Linked DNA regions of Astyanax mexicanus. The protein of the gene in region 2 purifies or fractionates together with the protein of the main gene of each other region. This does not show direct contact. Links are inferred from orthologs where the notes say so. Each region holds a gene or a part of one and is shown on either strand. Other genes may lie near its edges.

Region 1 (7,711 bases), on a different chromosome or scaffold from region 2:
ATATTTCAGGGTATTTTTTGCGATAACGATATACTTGGCGATATAGGAAAACAGAAAAATAATTAATTAATTTCAGGAATATAGTATAAGAGTATAAAAGCATAATCATAATGTGGCAAAATATAGCATAAAATAATATAATGCAGCAAAAAATATTGCAGAATATTTAGTGCAAGCATATAAACTGCAAAATAAAACAATTATACAATAAATACACCTAAAGCTTCACAGTAAATAATAGACTACTTTTAAGACAGAACATCTCTATTATCACGATATGGATTTTTAATATCACAATATTTCTGTCTCACGATATATTGTATACGATATAATATTGCCCACCCCTACATAGGAGCTTAGTATTTTACATATTTTACATTTTCATTAATGTTAGTCATTTAACATGTTATGTGTTAGTTGATTTTACAATTTCATTGGCATCACTTTTTATTAGAGATATAATAATATAAGCAAATTAAGAGGCAAAACAGAGAAAAGAGGAAGGAAAAAAAAACAAAACAAAAAAAAAGAAGACAAAAAGGTGGGGAAAAACAAAAAGACAAAATATTGCAAGAAGAAAATAAAAATATTAAGGAACAACAACAAAATGAGCAGAACAGCGACAAAAAAGAAACTATAAATAAATATTTATTTGGTTTATATGTGGAGACAAGAGAGAAAAAGAAAGAAAATGGATAGAGAAAGAGGGAATACGAAAGATAGAAAGATACGTATTGCCTAGTCAGTATGTATGAGTGTTTGTTTAGAAACATAAATTAATTAGTTTGTATTAATTTGGCTGGTAATTATGACCAAGCACTAAAAATAGGACTCTCTGGGGAAGATAAACTAACAGGAACACAGTAGTTCTGGTGCTGTTCTGTACCTGAGAGTTGGAGCTGAGGGCGAACTTGGCGAGAGTACAGGCTTTAGACAGATCAATCAGCAACAGGAAGAACGGCAGCGCTTCACTGAGGAAAACACAGAAACAGGGTTCCTCAGCACTTCAGAAATACAGTCGAAATAAAAGTAGTAACGGCACATTAAAAAACTAAATAAACTAAAATAATAAAAAAGAATAAAAGCTCTTACTTGAGGCCCGTGAGCTCCTTTCCCAGGAAGTGAATAACCACAGTGCTGAAGACAAAACTGGAGAACACAGTGAAGAGACCAGCAATCCCTGCACACACACACACACACACACACCATATATTTCTATTGGTCCATGATGATCCAAACATAGCAAAAACAAACCAAAAAAAAAACAATGTGTACACTGGACGATATGGTAAAATTCTACATTACGATATATTTCTTAATTTTGGCCGATACACTTTGATTTGTAAAGAAAAAAAAGATTTAAATATTTAAAGACATTTTCACAATACACAGTATTTATCATGTTTTTGCACATAGACAATATGCACCAGTAGACAGTATGAACAGTACAGTGACATTTCTTACACTTTTGCAGCACATCATAAAATTAAACAGGCACTGATGATATTCTTAATATTCTTTAAAAAGTATTGTGGAGGAATTGTGCAGTGGTGAACTCACCGAGCATGTACTTGGAGCCGAGCTGCCTCAGGTTTTTAAACTGAACGTAAATGTAGACGATGGCCAGACACCTTGTGATGGTTAGGATTATGATGTCAGAGCTCAGGATTTTCTGAAAGAGCAAATAAAAGATTTTGTTTCCACTTTATTTTTAAACAGTTTCCAGTCAACTGTAGAAACCAACTACAGGTGTGAAAAACTCAATTCTGAGTTTTTGAGAATTAATATAGTATCGCAGACATTAATATCCCTTTAATATATTAGAATACCCCTAGTCAGAAAGTGTGTACTCTAAAGGCCTATGTACCTCCTGCACTTTAGGGCACTGGTAGTTCCAGTCACAGATTTGATCTCCTCCAGCGATGGCATTCATGGACATGAGGCAGATGGTCACGGCGATCGTCCCCACGATCACCTCCCAGGGATGCGAGGCCACAAACAGGCCATGCAGCCTGAAGAGCTGGGTCAGCATCGTCACAGCAATCAGCACGTCTTCTGCAGGAGAGAGACACACACAGAGACACCAATCAGAACCGGGTAAAGCCCCAATCTCAACACAAAGACACCAATCTGAACCTGGTGAAGCTCCAATCTCAACACAGAGACACCAATCTGAACCTGGTGAAGCTCCAATCTCAACACAAAGACACCAATCTGAACCTGGTGATGCTCCAATCTCAACACAGAGACACCAATCTGAACCTGGTGATGCTCCAATCTCAACACAGAGACACCAATCTGAACCTGGTGATGCTCCAATCTCAACACAGACACCAATCTGAACCTGGTGATGCTCCAATCTCAACACAGAGACACCAATCTGAACCTGGTGATGCTCCAATCTCAACACAGACACCAATCTGAACCTGGTGATGCTCCAATCTCAACACAGAGACACCAATCTGAACCTGGTGATGCTCCAATCTCAACACAGACACCAATCTGAACCTGGTGATGCTCCAATCTCAACACAGAGACACCAATCTGAACCGGGAGAAGCTCAAATCTCAACACAGAGACACCAATCAGTGCAGTGACTGCACTTAAGCATACTTTCAAAGTTTTTAAAAAAGTTTTCAAATGTTTTGGATTGACTGATTGGTTGAGTAGTTCTTGCTTCTTATAATATAAAGCTGTCAAAACTGTCATCCTCCACTTCCTCCTCTTTATGGATGATAATTTTATTGTTGCATTGTAATCAGATAATTTATACAGCAATATGAACCAGACGTTACACAAATTAAATATATTATTAATATAATGAGTAAAATATATTATATTTATTATTCCTCTCTATTATTTACTTATAAAGAACCACTTGGACTAACTGGCCAGTTTTTGCTTTACTGTTCCCCTTTTTTAATACAAAAATACATAGGCGTTTGCTATGAATACATTACATATAAATTATTACAGTATGTAATTAATAAGAGCTGAGATTAGAAGAAGAGGTGAAACAGAAGTCCAATATTTTGCGTAATGATGAAACACATGTGTCCTGTTACTCTGATACTGGATCAGTTCCGACATGCTGCACTAGAATGCGTCAAATGCCAAATCCTGCACCCCAAAGGACCCGTCCGCCTGCTAAAAAAAAAAAAGAATCAACCACCACTTTGCGACCACAGACTAAAAAATGCATTACCAAATAAATTGGTTAATATTTCAAAATATTCAAAAATATTGCAGGTTTAACTAATTAAACTGTCTTTTTTCTTTTAAGAAAAAGTATATTCACACTATTTACTTTTTGTATAAGCTACAATATCAAACATTCCAGGTAAATATATCTTTAAAAATATTTAAATGTTTTTTGTTAATATAACAATACTTAAACAATATTGGTATTATAAAAAACACGTTAAAATATTATAAAATTTAAAAAAAAAATCTTTTTTGTCTAAGAAAACGATTTTTCAGCCCCTCTAACTAATTTAGAGCTCAGACAGCACTCATTTATTTCAACCAATCAGAGAACAGCAGGAAGCGGAGGGAAGCCGGATTTCGTCGAGGACGAATGACAGCACAACACCGAGTGTCTATTTTAACGCCCTGCTAGCTGCCTTTAGCCGAAAGCTAAGCAGTTCTACCCACAGACATCAGCCAAGGTCAAACCCGCGTCCTGAAAGCAGCAGCGGCGCGGGCAGAGCCGCGCTCCGGAGAGCGGTGGCGGGTTAGAGGACCGGTGTTCCGCCCAGAGAATTACCTTCATGATATAATCCGCTCCGCAGCTCCTCCGCTTCTCCTCCCTCTACAGCGATGGCGGCTGTGAGTCAACCAAGGCGACCTGGCCACGCCCCCCGGTGTGTGATGTCACCCAGGGTCTGGTCCAATTTGTGTAGTATAGGCTGCACACTTGTACCCTAACTATGGGCCCTCCTTTTTTTTAAGTTTGGTCTGAGACACTAGAGGGCCTAAAATGAATGGGTTCTTATGGAGCACTTGAGCAAATTTTTTTATAAAGATTTCCTAACCTTTAACTCACAATATGCAAATTAGTCACAAACTGAAGTCACAACCATTTGCGTCTCACCACTATCAGAGGCACACTGCTACTGCTGCAGCTCAGCCAATCGGCTCTCCTTCCTACCCCGCCTCTAAACCCATACATCACCCAGCGTCCCTCTCAAACTACCCCTTACATTTTTTTGCCTTTTTCATTTTTGAGCTAGAGGTCGAGTCAGCTAAAATCATGCGAGCCATCAATATGTGCTACTTTTACATACTCATAATGTTGCTTTCCAAAAACGGGCCCTTTTCACATTTTTTTGGATATTTTTTTCCTTAATAAATGAAATCTTAATTTAAAAAGTGCTTTACATATTTTCCCAGGTTATATTTGTCTGAAATTAAAGTTTGTTTGATCATCTGAAAAATGTAGAAAGAAAGAAATCTGTAAGAGGCAAATACTTTTTTATGCCACTGTACGTGCATAAATATCTGTAATTCAAATTTCTCTATTGGCTATTATAAAAACACTATGATAAATTCTCTCACACTGCTTATGGCTGTTATTTTAATTGTAGCTCAGTGTGGGAAAATTCTGTATTTGATGTTTTCTGTTTTATTAATTATTTTTAATTATTTGTTTGTGCTGAAATTGTGTGGGTTTTTTTTATTGATCATCCCAGCGGATGCGGGCCTGTGTCTGCCGGTGATTCCGCGCATGCGCAGTGCGCTGCATTGTGCTGGGCAAGATGGCGTTGAGTAAAACGTTCGGTCAGAAACCGATTAAATTCCAGTTGGAGCAGGATGGAGATTTCTATATGATCGGTTCAGAGGTGCGTATTAAGCGTTTTATCAGTCCTGTAGAGTCTGAACTCGGAATACGAAGGGTTGGGGGCTAGTTTAGGCCGGTAACCCCCGGTACAGCGCGCCGTCCCCTCAGGCTTTGTTGGTTGTTAGCATAGATGCTAACGATGAATGAGTGAAGACTGAGGCAGCGCTTAAAACACTGTTACACTGAATTTTACACTGAATTCACACTGGATTTACACTGAATGTATCAGTTTATACACATCAGTTTTGCTCTAAATCATGTCTGTGTTGAGTTACCGCAGCAGTGTGGTGATGTTTACAGTAAACCCCCCAGTCTGTGTTAGATACAGCATCAGCTTTACCAACACTGTCCTTAAACAACTTCTAAAACCTCATATTTGTCTACTGCAGCTTTTAGATTTAGTAAAATAATCATTTAAGCCCTTACTGTAGCCTTATGAAAACGGTCTTCACCAAAGCAACGCAATATTTACAGTACACACACACACACACACAGTTATGGAAACATTAAGAGACCACTTCAGTTTCTGAATCAGTTTCTCTGAATTAACTATTTATAGGTAAATGTTTGAGCAAAATTATCATTATTGTTTTATTCCATAAATTACAAACAACATACTCTTAAAGTTTTAAGAGTTCAGAAATCAATATTTGGTGGAATAACCCTGTTTTTAATCACAGCATCATGAATGAGTGCAGTGAATAGCAGTATACACACACTAGTGCATCTCAAAAAATTAGAATAGTAGTTTTATTTTTAAGATGTTTGTAGGTACAGACATTTGTTGTGGGCATCCTTGGCAGTTTTTCTGGTGCTTTTATGTAGTTCTTATCAATATTGAAAATTATATCTTTTCTTAACCAGAATTAGGGACTCTAACTTGTGATATATATTTTTTTGGCCATATTGTCCTGTCCAAATGTATGTTTATTAAACTAGGACCTGGCATTGTAATGTTTTCTTCAATGTATATCAGAAGTGGTTTAACGTGATGATACACTCCACTTGAAAAATAAGTGATATTAGTCAGAAAATTATTTAAACTACTTAGTGTACATAAATGAGACTAGCTTTCATACACAGCAATATCTGTATTTCTGTATTTATAGCAAATATGCCACATAACTTGCAATGAATACAGATATTGTATGCTGTGTATGAAAGCTAGTCTTCAATAGACCTAATGTACGAAGTAGTTTAAATAATTTTCATAAATGCAAAATATAAAAGTTAGTGTTTCTGTTTTATTGGTGTAATATGGAGTTCAGTAGAGTGATGGTTGATGGAACAAAAAAAAACTATACATACTTAGTGCTGCTTCTCTGTCAGAAGACAGAAGAGCGGATCTTAAACAGTATTGTAAACAAACATTAACCAGATAAGCCACATTTCCAGAAAATAAACTGTTTAAATCTTTCTTTCAAAACAGTCTGAAGAGCTCAGAAAAGAACATACATTACAGTCAGGCCTGGGGCGCCCTCAGTAAAGTATACAGTGCAGAATTAAAATGACCAAATAAAACCAAACAGTCTGACAGGAGAGATATTTGTGGTCTGTAGTGGTATTTAATGTTTGTCATATTTCGGGTGTAATAATCATTATCTATTATTTGGGTCAGTGCTTTTTTAGTTTATTTTTATTTTTAAACATCTTGTCTATAAATATACACCTAATATGGGACTAAAAGATATGTATATGTAAAGAAAGATTAAATGCTTTTTTCATTTTGTATGATTTTGTTTGCACACCACTGCAAGTATTGATTGTGTTTTGACTGCATATTGTTCCCTATAGGTAGGAAACTACCTGCGTATGTTCAGAGGGTCACTGTACAAGAGGTACCCATCCTTGTGGCGACGGCTTGCGTCAGTGGAGGAGAGGAAAAAGATCGTAGCATCATCACACGGTAAGTGATTCGAATGCCAATAGCATTTGTTTTATGATGATTTTAAGTCCAGAAAGCAGTTTTAGGAGACCACGGTCTTGTTTAGTGCATGCCTTTGCTCCAGATAGTCCTGTAGTCCTGCTTCTGGACAGCATTTTGTGCAGTGTTTTATTTTGTGTAGGTTATTGTTACACAACTTTAGCCACCAGTGTGACTCTGCTGAAAGCGTCTGAGTGCGAGGAGATCTTTGAGGGGAACGATGAGAAATACAAGGCAGTGTCCATCAGCACGGAACCTCCAGCCTATCTCAGGTACGGCTCCTTTTTTTGTCTTTTCTCCTGGACTGAAAATACCCTGAATGTAGGTAAATGTTTTTTTACTTATTTTAAGGACAGTCAGTTTAGATGATGGACTGTTTTCTCTCCATTTTATTCAGAGAGCAGAAAGCGAAGAGGAACAGCCAATGGGTTCCAACCCTCCCCAACAGCTCTCACCACCTGGATGCTGTGCCTTGCTCCACTACAATCAACAGAAATCGCATGGGACGGGACAAGAAGAGGACGTTTCCCCTGTGGTGAGAGATGGTTTAATTTCTTAATTGCCATGGCTGTGGCTAAAACGTATTCTTATTTCCTTATTAGTATTTCAATAGACTTACTAAATAGTGCAAGAAACATTTATAAGTAGGATTTTAGTCAGTCGAACTTGAGGAGCTTCTGTATTGAATAGAATGTTAGCTATTCTGCTAAGTTAATGTTAACCAGCTTTTAACTCCTGGTTCATTTTGTCATTTGTAACGGCCAGATTCATAAAATAGTGCATGCACATAAACGGCAAACATAAACAGTACAAAAAATACACTTAATGCTTCACAGTAAATAATAGACTACTTTCAAAATTTGAAAATCCATCCATTGCACAGCCTTACCAGCTAGTAAGCTAATGCTATATGCACAAACACAGAACGACAGAAGCATTTTGGCATT
Region 2 (7,256 bases):
ATTGCAAGACCACAATAATAATAGTAATAATATTAATAATAATAATAATATGTCAAAATAGTAGAATACAAATAAGATATACATATTTCATGTAAGTAAAATAAGTATATTCTTTTATGTTTACTCTATTTTTAGAGTAATAACCATTCAGTTTTATGTAGAATATGTAATTTCAATATTTTTTACCTATTACCTATTATACAAACTGCATAAAATCTGCAAAAATCTATAATTAAAACGTGACCTGTTCTCAGGGATGTCCATCCTCTGCAGAAAACGTGGAAAGCACAGAAATATGTCAGTTTGTAATATTGTTATTGTATATAAAATGTTGACGTTAGACCAACAGTATAATTAATTATGTGTCAAAGATTTATTATATTAAGTTAATCTTTATTTTTAATTTCTAAAAATCTGTTGAAAATTCTTAGCATTTTGTTTTAGACTGTTTGGAATCTTGATTACTGAGTATTTTAGCATATTTATTAAGGCACAAAATAATAAAACAATGTCAGCTCTGGTCATATTTTAAATGGCTTAAATTGTTTAAAATAACACCAGAATTGACTGGACATCAGTAGACACAAGTAGAGTGATTTTATTTTATGTCTTCTTGCTCAGATTCGTACCCACATCGATCCATTATCGTGTTGTGTGAAATACTTCACCCCTAGAGGGCGCTTTTTGCATGTGCCCCCTCCCTGCCCTAGCACTGATTGGGCTAATGATTTCGGAAGGCCGTGGTGGAGGGACAGCCGCTATGAGGTGGGCCTGCTTTCTGCCAAGACCCGCTGGATTCGCATTATCAACACCCTCACGTCCCAGGAGCAGAGCCTGGAGGTAGGCCACACTGAACACATGGCAAAAGTGTTACAGGATACAAGGTGTATTCACAAATTTATGATGCCAGAGAATGTGTGTTTCTCTATTAAACATGCATTGCCTTTTAATAATCCCAATGGCCAAGTATGGACTATCCAGCGATGAACCAAAACGATATGGCAACATGCCTAATGTGCTGTTGGTGCTCTGCGTGCCAGCAAAACAGCTCATTCTACCAGACCTCTGAAGGTGCCCTGTGTTATTTGGCAATAAAACAGCAGATGCTTTAGGCCCTGGAAGTTGTTAGGTAGAGCTGCTACAGATCAGATTTGTTGTTCCAGTTTATCCCGCATGTGAGCATACCTGCTTTCCCCATGTTATAAAAGAAAGCAAGATTTGTCAGACCAGTAAATGTTGTTTCATTCAGTATCAGTATCTCACTGATGTGGTGGTGTGTTATGCTGGCACAAGTGAATCAGGCAAAGCAGTGAGTTTTTAAACAGTGTGTCCACACAATATTTACTCTATTAGACATAATCAAAGACGGATTCTCGTCTGTTGCTGCACAGTTTGTGTTGGTCACCCTCTAGTCCTTCATCAATGGTCACAGGACATTGCCCACAGGAAGCTCTTCAAAGGATAATGTTGGTAGACTATTCTCAGTACAGCAGTGACACTGGAGTGTTTAAAAACTTCAGCAGCACCGCTGTGTCTGTTCCACTCGTGCCAGTACAACACACACTACCTTTGAAAAACAGAGTAGAAGGAGGATAATAAAGTATGCAGTGAAACAGATTAACTACTGTCTGTAAATATAGAACAACAGAGTGCTCAGTGGAGCTGAAAAAATGGATTATGGTTGCAAAAACTGGAATGATCATAATGTTATGCCTGATCACTATCTATTGTTGTTCCAGTCACACCAACAAGGTTACATTTGATTCCAGTAGCTTGGTGCTTTTTCTGTTAGTGAGTGTACAGAAAATCATCACAGCGTCACATCATTATCTTTATCTCGCTATTCAGATGTGCAATTTCTGATTTGTACAATGCAAACCGATTTAACCCTTTAAAGACTATTGGAATTGGGTGCTGAAAATGCCTATATTTGGGATACTTCACAAATAAATTATTTTATATTTAATATATACTGAAAAAAGGTACTTTGGAGAAAGTCTTCCCATAATTTAAAGGATGTGATATGTCTACAAACTGTTGGACATGTAGTGTACTGTATGTGCATGGTTAAAAATAAATACGTGTCTGTAACTTTCCTTTTGTCAGGAAGGTTTGTTGCACTGTGCTCCCGCATGCTGAAGAGGGCAGGATTGGTCTATTCTTTCTTGTTACTTTTTCTGACCCCCCCCCCTTCCTTTTTTTTCTTTTGCCTTGCTCATTTCACCCTCCCCTTGCAGTCTGCATCTGATTCTCCTTCTTGACAAAGGGAAATGTTACTGATGTTATGCCTCTGGTAATGTAAGTGGTCCAAGACTGGGCTTGTGCTTCAGCTGTGCAGTCCAATGGCCACCACGTTCACTGCAGGGTGGGCAAGCTCACTCCTGCTACATGACCCATCTGGCATCGGGCTATTCTGCATGGTCCAAAGGCTTAACAGAGCATTCCTATTGTCTTTCTCTTTTGCTCCCCCAGCCACCCCATTCTGTACTCTCCCTCCGCTTCCCCCCTCCCTCTCCAGTGGTTCTTGGCAGTGCACCACTATTGGATCAAACTGACATAAATTCCTTTCCTCTCTTTTAGCAGATCCAGGAGGCTTTGCTTATATAATTCATATATGTGGAGGAATTTGGGTGAATGTATTTTACTTAAAGGGAAAAAAAAGCTTTACTTGTGTGTGTTAACCATGTGTGTTAACCATGTATATTAGGAATATTACTAGTAACTGAAAGTTTTTTTTCTCTTTGTTCTCTGGCCAGGTGTGTTCTGAGGAAACACTAGATGAGATCCTGCAGCGATACCTGCGCTACAACTCCCATGCGGCCAGCTACACCTGGAAGCATGACGGTGTCATTTTAGATATTAGTAAGACCCTAGAAGAAAATGGCATCCCAGATGAAGATGAGGAATTCTACAAGTGTCGCATGGATTGTGACCTCTACACTCAGTCCATATGCCTGTACTTCAACGATGACCTTACTGAACTTTGACCTGATCGCAATTTTACATTATATGAACTTCTCATTATCCCCATCATATGATGTAACTGCATTACAGTAAAGCATTACAAGAGTGTTCGATGTATGGTTAATTGTTGACCCCATTATTTTGTATTTGGCCCAGATAAACCCCATCATTCAAAGTAGAACCGTAATAGTGCCGTAACCTCACCTTAATAACAGTGGCTGGCAGTTGCTATAGTGAATGTTCATGTAAAATTCAGTAGCTTGCGCTTTAGAACATTCATATGTAGTGTTGCAACAGGGGTTCTTTGACTTTCTTTGCCCCTTTTTATATAGAACTATAAAGAAACATATTAAAAATGTAAGCTAATAAAATCATCTGCAAATTTGATTTTATTTTTTTTACACGTGAAGAACCATTTAACTTGGCAAAAACAATTTAGGCATACTAATTACATGCATTACATTTCATGGTGCATTTTTCAAACTGAGCCACTGACATAACATTTAATTAGAGCTAAGGTTATCATTTACTCCCAGGTTAATTACATACCATTGAGAGTGAAAATTACTTGTTGATATTCAGGGTCAACACAGATGATTTTCTTTTTTTTTTTGGACAAAGGGGAAACTGTGTTGTCTGGAGGTATTTTCAAGTAATTATTGCTTTGCACAGTTACACTTGAGTTCAGTCAGTGAAATTTAACAGCATGCAAGTTTCTTTTGGACACTGGGGTAAATTTTGTTCTACTGTACTTGTACTGTTTTGATTCCTTGAAAAAAATCACACAGAAAGGGATGTTTTTACAGGTCTTTTAATCGTCCATTTTCTAAGGGGAATGAATAAGTGTTTGACTCCCTCCATCCGCGCCTTAAATGGTTAATTTTTAAGCAACACAATCTGATGTAAATCTGGGCATGGCTGCGGCACAGCTTCCCAACCCCCCCGTCCGTTCTTTCCAGCCTGCAGCCAGACGAGACCGCGGCGCAAAGCCTTTCACTCCAGAATATTTTTTTATACATCGGCGGGGCCCTTTAAGACTATTAAGGTAGCCATGTTTGTTAGATTTGCGAGGCTCTCTGCAGTGCAGAAGGAGTGTTAAGGCGAGAGTGAACGCTGGCGTCCGCGTGCACTCGCAACAGTATGCAACACACACGCGTGCGCGCGCACAGACACGCACAGAGTTAGGTTAGCTGCCAGGCAAGTATTAGAGAGAGAGAGAGAGAGACAGACAGACCGAGGGAAAACAAAAACACTCAGAGCAAATGACGAGTTAATAAAATACAACAACTTAGTCTCAGCTCTACATACACCCCCTTTCTGCTGCTGGAACAATACTGAGAATGTTTTTTAGAGGAGGGAGGGGAGACGAGAGAGAGTGAGACAGAGAGAGAGAGTGCGAGAGAGAAAGGAGGAGGAGGGGGGGCGTTCTGAAATAATATAGTCAGCCATTTTTTATGTAAGGGGATTTTTCTTATTGGGGGGGTTGTTAAAAAATAAATATAAGGGCGGCCATCTTTGTTTCTCTGCCTTGTAGTGTAAAATATTCCAAAACGCCCCCCACTTTTTTCCCTGTGTGTCGATTTGAATATTCAATAAATATCATAATTCGGGAGGAATCCACTTTTTGATCTCGAGGACGGGGTCGCTGACAGGCATATAATGTCCTCTCCTCTCCGTTCTTGTGAGGAAGATGAGGGCATGGCGGTTAATTCCGAGGGAGGAGATTTTGATGAAGAAGAAGAAGACGACGGGGACCTGGACGAGAACGCAAGCGACATAAACTCGCCGGCGGCGCCTCGAGAAACTGCAGCCCTCGCCGCGCCAGGTACCGTGCAGACACGGGGGAGCTAGGGAGCGAGCGAGCGCGCGGCGGAGGAGAAAGTGAGGAAACGTAGCTACGGCGTTATATAGCGGGAAAAAGTGTGTGTGTGACCCGTAACACGGGGGGACAACAACATCTGCACTGCTAGCTAGGTTCAGTAAGTTAGCCTGCTTCGGCATAGCCCACTCGCTCACTGCGTTTCTGTGCTAAATAAAGCGTAGCCTCTAGATAAACCCCGTGGAGTTTAGTTAGTTTAACTAAACTTTCCCAGTGTCCCCATCGCTGTCCCGTTGGGCCATTCAGCACTTGCTCCGGCTAACACCAATTTCTATTGCCAAATAATGTGCATTGTCTTCTTAACCTAGCTTATGGCTGAACGTTTTTAATGATTCCTCGCTGTAAGGTTTTGCAAAAACTGCCTGAGGTTATGTCTACTACGCACGACTGCCCCAGACCTCGAATGGCGAGTGCATTATAGGTAGTAGCTATAGCTATCTTAACTAACTAGAGGGGTTGCAGAAGAGTGCAGAGCGCTGGACTACCGGTTGATTGAGACAGTGGTCAGTGTTGTGACAGACTGTAAATAAACTTGACCCGACCCACTGTCACTCTGACTGCCACAGTTCAGGGCAGGACAGACCTCCCTTTTAAGATAACTAAGCTTAGCTAGGTTAACCAACTAGCTAACGTAGCTAACTAACTAGGTAGCTAATCTAGGTGGTTCATGGAGAGTACAGTGGCTCACAGTTTATGTATTAACTTGTCATTAGCACTAACAACACTCAAACAACACAAATCCACATGAGAAAATGTATACATAGGTGGTTTTATAGTTGGCAATGTTTGTATACTTAGCTATTCAAGACAACACAATAGCTATGATGGTACACTCACTGCACATAACCTATCCATAGATCATAAAGATGTAGCTAATAAGTATGAGTAATAGTTAGACATAACAAGGAACCATATATTAAGCAGTGCTGTCTACATTCATATGATATAGCTAGTTAGCTAGGTTAGGTTAGCTATGTGTGTTTATATTATTTCACACTATTACGAAATACTGCTCGTAACTATAGATTTTATCTATAAGTTACATATATAGCTAGCTATGTCTAATATTTGGATACCAATAAGAGTTTGGCATGTGCCTTAGCCCCATACTAAGATGACCTGTTTACATGCAGATGCGTTTCTAAATCAAAACAAAAGTCTGGGCACACTTTATGGTGGCGCAATGCATATCCTCATTACACTGTTGTGTGATAACTGGTCGCCGTGCATGCATGGATGCACGCATGTGTGGATGTGTTGATTGCACTCATTGGGGCCTTTTTTCAGTTGTGCAAAAAAATAAAATAAACATAGAAAGGGGTCTCGCAGTCGCGCAGGGTGCAAAGATGCGCGCGAATCAATTAACGTTACCCCTCGTTCCCCCCTCGCGCCCTTTGCATCCCCTCTAGTGACTCCCACCAGCAGCCCGCAGCTCCTCTCCGCCCCGCTCCCAGGTGAAGAGGCCCCGCGGCAGCAGGAGGGCAGGCGCAGTTTCCTCGCGCTTTGCGTCGCGTGGCTCGCGGACGCGGCCTCTCGATCACCGAGACCCGCGTGCGCGCTGCTGCCGCCTCTGGCTGCGCGAGGCCAGCCGGGCGCGAGAAAAAAAGCTCGCTCGCTCGCCCGCCCGCTGCGTCCTAGCAACAAAGGCGGACCAGAACAGGAGAACTAATTTTACTGAGTGCAATGGCAACCGATTAGCTTGTTTTTTTGCCTCACAGGACCGAAAACCCCTAACCAGACAGCGCGTATCTGTCCTTATACTGTATCATGACCGCAGAAAGGGTTTTATTTGTTAAGTATGGTTGTGAGAGCCCATTCATGCCGCTTAACAATTTTAAAATAATTATTTTGGTACTAATTCGTTATTTTGGCATTCTAAGTCGTTATTAAGGGATAGTAAGTTGTTATTTTGGGATTCTAAGTGGTTATTTGGGGATAGTCGTTATTTTAGGATTCTAAGTAATTTTTTGAGAAACCAAGACGTTATTACTGAGTCTTTATTAGGGGATACTAAGTTGTTATTTCGGGATTCTAAGCCGTTTTTTGGGGATAGTCGTTATTTTAGGATTCTAAGTCATTATTTGAGGAAACTAAGTAGTTATTTGGGGATTCTAAGTCGTTATTTGGGGATTCTTATTTTGATCTTATTATTTTAAGATGCTAGGTAACATTTTTAAGGCGGTATCTTATTGATTTGATGGACTTGGTGTCTTTTTTAAAAGATACTTTTAACATTTCATATTCATATTAAGGTGATATGCACAGTAAGCTAGCTATAGCTCGTTAAACTACATCTCTGTAAGTTCTCTTAATCCGGGACATTTTTTTGTCTCATTTTTTAACTTTCAGGCAAAAGGCTAAACAGCTATAGCTAGCTATAGCTCCTGAGTGATACCTTGTACATAAGACAACA
Region 3 (7,267 bases), on a different chromosome or scaffold from region 2:
TAAAGAGATACTCTGGCTTAAATGATACACCACGGCTCAACGCACTGCTAAAACTGTAAACACATAAAATGCCCGTAGTTCTCCCATACACTAAGTTGTTAGGTTTTAGAAATGTTTAGAAATGTAGAAATTTTGGTGTAACTGGCCCTGATTTAATGACCAATAAAACCACTGATCAGTCTTCCGTGGTTCACAATCTGACCTCACCCCATCACCTGGACTATACTTCCCTCTTGTGGCCTCCTTGTGGTGTGTAAAGTCTGTGAAACACAGTAAAACATATTTATATAAATTGTTGTCTGTAAAACCATAATCCCTTTATGATCAATCCAGAAGACAAATAATGTTAAGGTGACACATTTTTAGGGGGCTTTTTGGATTCTCTTCGCAACCACATATGATCTAAACACATTAACACAACCAGTTTCAACTTAAATATATAACGAGAGATTTGGTTTGGGTGAGTGTCCTTGTGTTCTGGCCTGGTGTCATCTTCCACTGTTCTAGTTGCTTTAAAATACAAAAGAACACATTTACTGAGACTGGTTAAAGTTCCTCGATGTGGATCCTGGATTGGCGACCTGCCAATTTAAAAACAAACTAAAATTCAAACTAGCATTCAGCGCCAATTCAGTGTTGAAACAATTGTATAATAATATATTTAGTAGTCCTATTGTTCTCCTAATGTAATTTTTACATTTAAAATGTCTTAAAGTTCTTATAACAGAGCTCATGGCATTAGGTGAGAACTGGGTTGTAGAAATCACAGCTGTTCATATTAAAGCTCCTGAGTTTAGTTCTGAGGTTAAACCGTTGGCTAGTTAACTAGCTAGGTAAACTAGTAGCGCTAACTCTATATATTTTTTTTCTTTTACCTCTGACTGCTTTTTAGAACTTGCTAATGATTTAAATCTATAAAATTAATAATATCTGTCACAGGATATGTATTTTGTTTTACTGTTTTGTACATTAAACTCAACAGGTAAGAATTCAATTTAAATTGTGCCAATTTAAAAAGATACAGAAATTCCAGCTAGCATTGAGTTACAATTCAGTGTTGAAACAATATTTATTATTTACTAATATATTTATTAGTTTTATTAAATTTACATTTTTAAAATGCCGAACCAAAATCACAGCTGTTCATATTAAAGCTCCTGAATTCAGTTCTGGGGTAAAACCGTTAGCTAGCTAACTAGCTAGGTAAACTAGCTCATTTTTACCTCAGACCATTTATATTGTATTTTTAAGTAGTTACTGTACAGTATAAAATAATTCTTTAAACTGTTAATGTTAGCTAACTTTAACCAAAGTTAAACAATGTTCGTTAGCAAACTTTACCTATATGTTATAACTATCTAGCTATATAACTATAAATTTGTAGCTGGTTGAATTATTATTAAATATGCTGGAGACAGACTGTTTTATAAGGAAGGGTCACTGTATCTGTAATTCAATTGTCTGACAATTTAGGGCAAAATAAAAAATTGATGTTGGGTTTTCATCTATTTTTCTAATTTTCTAGTTTTTTTTTTCAACTAGAATTTCAGGAAAAATAAAAAGATGAATCTTCAATTTTCTGACTTTTCATCTTGTAACAAGTTGCATCATATCATCAGATTTTCATTACAATAAATATATATTTTTATAATTCTGTTAGTGAAAGGCACAAATAAAAAACTAAAGACTGGAAAAATTGATCATTTTCTTCTTCATCAAAGTAAATGGAAAATATATATATAAATAAGTTTTATTCAGTTTTTAAACTGATAAAAAAAACAGGAAGGATCAAAAAATTAATTGCTTTTTGTGTGTGCGAGTGTGTGTGTGAGAGAGAGAGAGAAAATATAATTTACCAAAGGCTAGATAAAAACTATTTGACATTGCTACTGAATTAAATGTACATTCCTAAGTGAATTTATGAATACATTAAAATAATTCATAAAACAAATAGCTAATAATAAATTATTTGATTTGTTTTCATTGGATATCAAATAAATGCAACTGTAAATTAAACTCACATTGTAAATATGTGCGTGTTTGTGCTGCTTTTTAGAACTTAGAACAAATTATTTAAATCTTTAAAATTAAACATATATTTGTCACCAGTAAGTATTTTTAAAATGCTACTGTTTAATATCTTAAAATACACAACAGGTAAGAATTAGCTTTGAACAGAAACGTATTATCAGTTTTTTACAGCTTTTAAGCAAACTTTTTTTGCTTGAATTTGTATGAAACATTAATTGCTCGTGCACAAATAAGGAGTAAATATATATTCTATTTATTATCATACATATTAAGTGAAACCCCAGGGTTATGACCTAAAATGACCTGAATATAACGTCAAAGTGACCTAAAATGACCTTGTTGAATCACCTTTTTGAGGACGTGGCATTGTAAAGAAAAAGACGCCTGAAAAACTACTAAATTCAGGCACATTTCATTTCATTAACATTAAATGATAAATCTTAGTAAATCAGAAATCAGAAAGTGTTACATTGTGAAAAGCGCCGTCAAAAAGCGGTCTTCTTTCGCCCCCTGGTGGTGACGTCGGTACTGCACGTCTGTTTAAATTACGTCATAGTTTGACGAGAAATCAATTTATGGGTCATACGCTGTCGTTACTGGGTCATCCTGAAGAGCAGCACAGTCTATGCTGAAGGTCTGACTCGTCTGTCTAAGTGCTATTAAGTATTACTCACCATAAATCACGATTACATAACTGAACTGCACTGACTAAAGTGGGTCAGGTCATCTGAGCTATAATCTAAGATTTAATACAACAAATTATAATAATAACAATATAAAAATTATAATTTAATTACAAATCACATCTTAGTCTGTCATTTATGTGATTTATGTGGTTGCATTGTTTTTTTTATAGAAAATATAAGTGCATTAATAACAGCATAACATTACTCCAAACTTTCAAGTGTATAATAATGCAAAATGCAAAAAAAAAAAAAAAAAAAACATGGTATATTTCTCCACACTGGCTGGTTAGCTATAGTGAGCTGATTTAACCTAAAATGACACCAGTGATACCAGTCCTATCTCAGTTTTTACCAGTAAAGCTTATTATTAGTAGAAACTATAGTTTCTGATATTAACCATACACTTTTTAGTAGTAATCGGCTACATACATCTATAGGTCCAGTCACAAGTCACGTGACCAGGACCACATATCCTTAATGTAATTCTGACAGTTATACAGTCATACAGTACGGGTCAATAGTTTGGACATACATATTCTAATGTAATGTTTTCTTTTATTTTTATTATTTTTTACACTGTAGATTAATATTGAAGAAATCAAAACTATAAAGGAACACATATGCAATAATGAACAAAAAAAACGAAATATGTTTTATACCTAAGATTCCTTTTGCTTTGATCCCAACTTTGCCCATTCTTGGCTTTATTCTTTCAGTCGGCTTTATGAGATAGAACCTGGAATTGTTCTCCATCTGTCTTAAAGGAGTTCTAGAGGTGCTGAGCTCTTGTTAACTGCTTTTCCTTCACTCTGCACTCCAACTCATCCAAAACAGTTGGGCTGAGTTTTTATTTATTTTTGTGTCAGGTGTCTACCTAATGCATATGTGTTTCTTCATAGTTTTAGACTTCTTTAATATCAATGTACAATGGAGTAGTTAATACAAACAAAGAACAAATATTAATAAGAATGTGTGTCCAAGCCTTTAACTGGTACTGGAATTTCACTGTCTCTTATTTTAAATTAGACTTTACTAGTAAAAACTCTATTTACAGATGTTTATAATTACTTAATTATTATTAGAAATAAATAATAATTAATACAATCTTTTTATTCTGACTAACAACAATTCTAGTCTTATATAACATACTAAAATTCCATTAAAAAAATCTCTAAAACAGCATCTTTACAGGAAAGAGATTAAACCTTCTTTCAAAAGTTAATGTAAAAAGAGTTTATTTCTATTGGTCCTTTCATTAGGAAATGTGACACAGGACAGTTTGTGTGTTCAGATTATGTAGTAAACTAAAAATTTACAAAAAAAATTGATGAGCCATGATAAGTAAATCTTATATGACTACTCCGAATTTACATTAAAGTGGTGTTTTTTTTTTTAGAGCTATAGTTCTGATATTATTATTAGTAGTACATTTTACAGACACTGGTAAACAATCAGTCAGGACTGGTGTGTGACTGGTGTTATTTTGGGCGTTGAAGTGGGTTGCCACATTGTGTTGGTTAGCATGAAGCCCTAACCCCTGTCGTCACGAGCGAACGGCGTTACGTCGCGCCGCATCAAACGCTCGCGCGCTCTCTCTCTCGCTCTCTCTCTCTCACGCATGCGGGCGTTTATTAATCAGAAATATGGGTAATATTTAAACATTTAAATAAATAAAATAATTAATAAATATAAAAAATAAATATATAAATATATAGAGAGGGGGGCGTCACAGTAATAACGCGAGAGTTTGTAAGTTGCCTCCAGTCGGTAACGGCAGCTCCGGCAGTGACAGGCGGACTCGCGCGTGACCCACCAGCGGCAGCAGCGGCAGCTCGTGCTGTAGAGCCGTAGTTACTGTACACGGGCCGCGCGAAAGGAGCGGCGCGAGACCCGGGCTCGAGCCTGCGGGGAGGAACCGAGGGCTGGGACTGCGCCCGAGCCGCCGTCGAAGCGGCGAACCTCCCGAGCGGATCCGCTGCTGCTGTGTTTCAGCCCTGCACCGATAACTGGGTCGTGTCGGTGGAGAAATTACGGTACTAAACACGTTTCCGGTCCTGCCGAGCCTTTAGCTTTTCCGCGCGAGGGTTTTTTTTACCTCCTCCTTCGTATTAAAGTCGCCATTTTGCTTCACTGCCTATAAAAGCGGATTGTGGTGGATTATTTTATACCCGGACGGACGGACGGGGTACCGGGCTCGCTATCGTCTCTGCCTTTTTCCCTTCGTGGCCATTTGTGGAGCTTTATTTATTTATTTTTATTTTTCCACGTCTCGACTCCCTCTCTCTCTCTTTATCTCTCTCTCTCTGTTTCTCTCTCTTTCTGAGTGTGTTTTGAAGAGAAGTGTGGGAACAGTGTGAAAGTGGTGGTCAGGGGCTTTGGGTTCATTTGGGTTCGTTTCCTTTCCTCCTCCTCCTCTCTCTGTTTCTCTCTCTCTCTCTTCTCTGCTCTTCTTCTTTTCCACCTCCCTCCACCTCCTCCTCTTTCTCCTCCTCTTCTTGCTTGTCGTCGTGGTCCTCCTCCTCCTCTTCTCTTCCTCCTCCTGCTGTGGAGCCACGGTGGGGGCTGTGGTGGTGGTGCTGAAGAAGAAGTGACCGGCGGTGGTGTTCCTCCAGTCCAGTCCAGTTCTGGGGAGTTGCCATGTAGCGCCCTGAGGGAGGCGTGAGGATCACACAGCCTGAAGCGCACGTGGGTGCCCCGGGTGGCTGGGGCCGGCCGAGTGTTTGGGTGGCTCCAGCGGTTCAGGTAGGTGTGGCCTTACAGCACGCAGACGCTCAAAACAAGCAATTTCATCATCACCAGTCAGAACAGGGGTCAGCTAGTTCACTACTAGTCCTGTAGGCCCACTGCCCTGCATATTATAGTGTGTTCCCTGCTCCCAACTCGCTTGATCCAACGATAAGTCTCCATTAACATATAACACTGCGTTACACTGTGCAGGAATTAGGAGAACATAGAATCATCTTAATGTATGTCATTCCACATCGATATGGGAATATTCAACAGACCAACTCAACGTATTTTAGTGTTTTCCCCACTCCCAACACAACACCTGATCCAACCAGTCAGCCAATTACCAGCCCAATATTGAGTTAGGTTAAAGTGTGCAGGGTAGTGGAGCTCCAAAACCAGGGTTAAGAAACACTGAGCTACACAGTAATACAGAACAGTGCTGTACTGTAGATCATATTTTTATCGCTATCGCAATTTAGGTTTTCACAATAAACACATCAAAATAGCTGTGATAACACCAGCCAAAAAATTACCCATGTGCTTCATGCTGCAGACTGCTTACATGACATAACAAGGCTGGGGGAAAAGCGAGGTAGAGTGAGGCACAGCGAGACAGTGAGGTAGAGTGAGCTAGAGCGAGGCAGAATAAGGTAGACGTCCACAGTGAACACATACACAACTACAAACTACTGGTTGGGAAATAAAGTGACCTAGCTTTGGAGTCTGGCAAAATTACGCTGACGCTTTCATTTATTGTGACAAGCCTAACTTGATATATAACTTGATATACAGCACATACCCATTCACACATGCCAATTAACAGCCCAATATTGAGTTAAAGTGTGCAGGGTAGTGGGCCTCCAAAACCAGGGATAGGAAACACTGAGCTACACGATCAAACAGAACAGTGCTGTACTGTAAATCATATTTTTATCATTATCGCAATTAAATTTTTCACTATGAACATATCAAAATATCAGCCAGAGTGTTGAAGAACCTTGAAGACTCAAACTGCATGACCCACGTGCTTCATGCTGCAGACTGCCCACCTGACATAATAAGGCTGGTGGACGTGCATAGTAGAGTGAGGCACAGCAAGGCAATGAGAGTGAGGTAGGGCCAGGTAGAGCAAAGCAGAATAAGGTAGATGTACACAGTAAGCACATACACAACTACAAACTACGAGCCGTCAGCGTCTGAAGAGCAACAGAGGTAGTGTGTGAGTTACAGTCAGGTGGAAGCTGATGACTAGTTGGGAAATTAAGTGACCTAGCTTTAGGGTCTCTAGCAAAATGATGCTGCTGATTTCATTTATTGTGACAAACCTACACATAACTTGATATACAGCACATACCCATTCAAACACACATACATGAAGCACATACACATTAATGTACGGACATGGCAAGACAAGGCACACAGAGGACGCACATATCATTACATACTTATTGTTACGAATTATCGTTTGTGTACATGATAATTTTTAAATGTTAAAAAATTATATAGTGAGATAATAGGTTTTGTCACTCTTGAGAGCCGTATATTTTTTTGTTATTTATTTACTATAAGGTTTTAGAGTTATTGTCCAAATACACAAAAGTTTACCGATGTATTTTTTTCCACTGAATGTTTGAAACTGTTATTTGGTATAAACGGTCCTATTTATACCAAATATACCAAAGGTTTAACATAAATTTTGTTGCTGTAATATATTCTTGCAGAAATATTGGCATATTATTTTAGGGCCATATCGCCCACTCTTAGTACCCACGAATACACAAGACAAACGCAGCACAGCGTTTGAAACTGTAGGTTGGTGT

The links. Proteins that work in one complex are often made in the same cells at the same time.
Region 1: the proteins of chd3 (region 2) and smarcb1b purify together in Homo sapiens (affinity purification with mass spectrometry; 3 studies listed by BioGRID, with this or other methods). This does not show direct contact. The link is inferred for Astyanax mexicanus from reciprocal best matches to the Homo sapiens genes CHD3 and SMARCB1.
Region 3: the proteins of chd3 (region 2) and znf512b purify together in Homo sapiens (affinity purification with mass spectrometry; 3 studies listed by BioGRID and IntAct, with this or other methods). This does not show direct contact. The link is inferred for Astyanax mexicanus from reciprocal best matches to the Homo sapiens genes CHD3 and ZNF512B.

The regions. Positions count from the first base shown.
Region 1 is NC_064424.1:46,282,203-46,289,913, reverse strand, and holds the start of smarcb1b (SWI/SNF-related matrix-associated actin-dependent regulator of chromatin subfamily B member 1-A), read left to right. Parts: upstream 1-4,711; 5' UTR 4,712-4,757; coding exon 4,758-4,841; intron 4,842-6,634; coding exon 6,635-6,746; intron 6,747-6,906; coding exon 6,907-7,036; intron 7,037-7,161; coding exon 7,162-7,299; intron 7,300-7,711. Other genes in the region: hmgcrb (3-hydroxy-3-methylglutaryl-CoA reductase b), read right to left, coding at 887-971, 1,093-1,180, 1,561-1,672, 1,868-2,055, 3,066-3,090.
Region 2 is NC_064415.1:23,862,585-23,869,840, forward strand, and holds the start of chd3 (chromodomain-helicase-DNA-binding protein 3), read left to right. Parts: upstream 1-4,251; 5' UTR 4,252-4,623; coding exon 4,624-4,789; intron 4,790-6,852; exon of another isoform or gene 6,853-7,256. Other genes in the region: cytochrome b5 domain-containing protein 1, read left to right, coding at 622-840, 2,757-2,987.
Region 3 is NC_064420.1:16,117,239-16,124,505, forward strand, and holds the start of znf512b (zinc finger protein 512B), read left to right. Parts: upstream 1-4,267; 5' UTR 4,268-5,459; intron 5,460-7,267. UniProt on the Homo sapiens protein: Involved in transcriptional regulation by repressing gene expression. Associates with the nucleosome remodeling and histone deacetylase (NuRD) complex, which promotes transcriptional repression by histone deacetylation and nucleosome remodeling.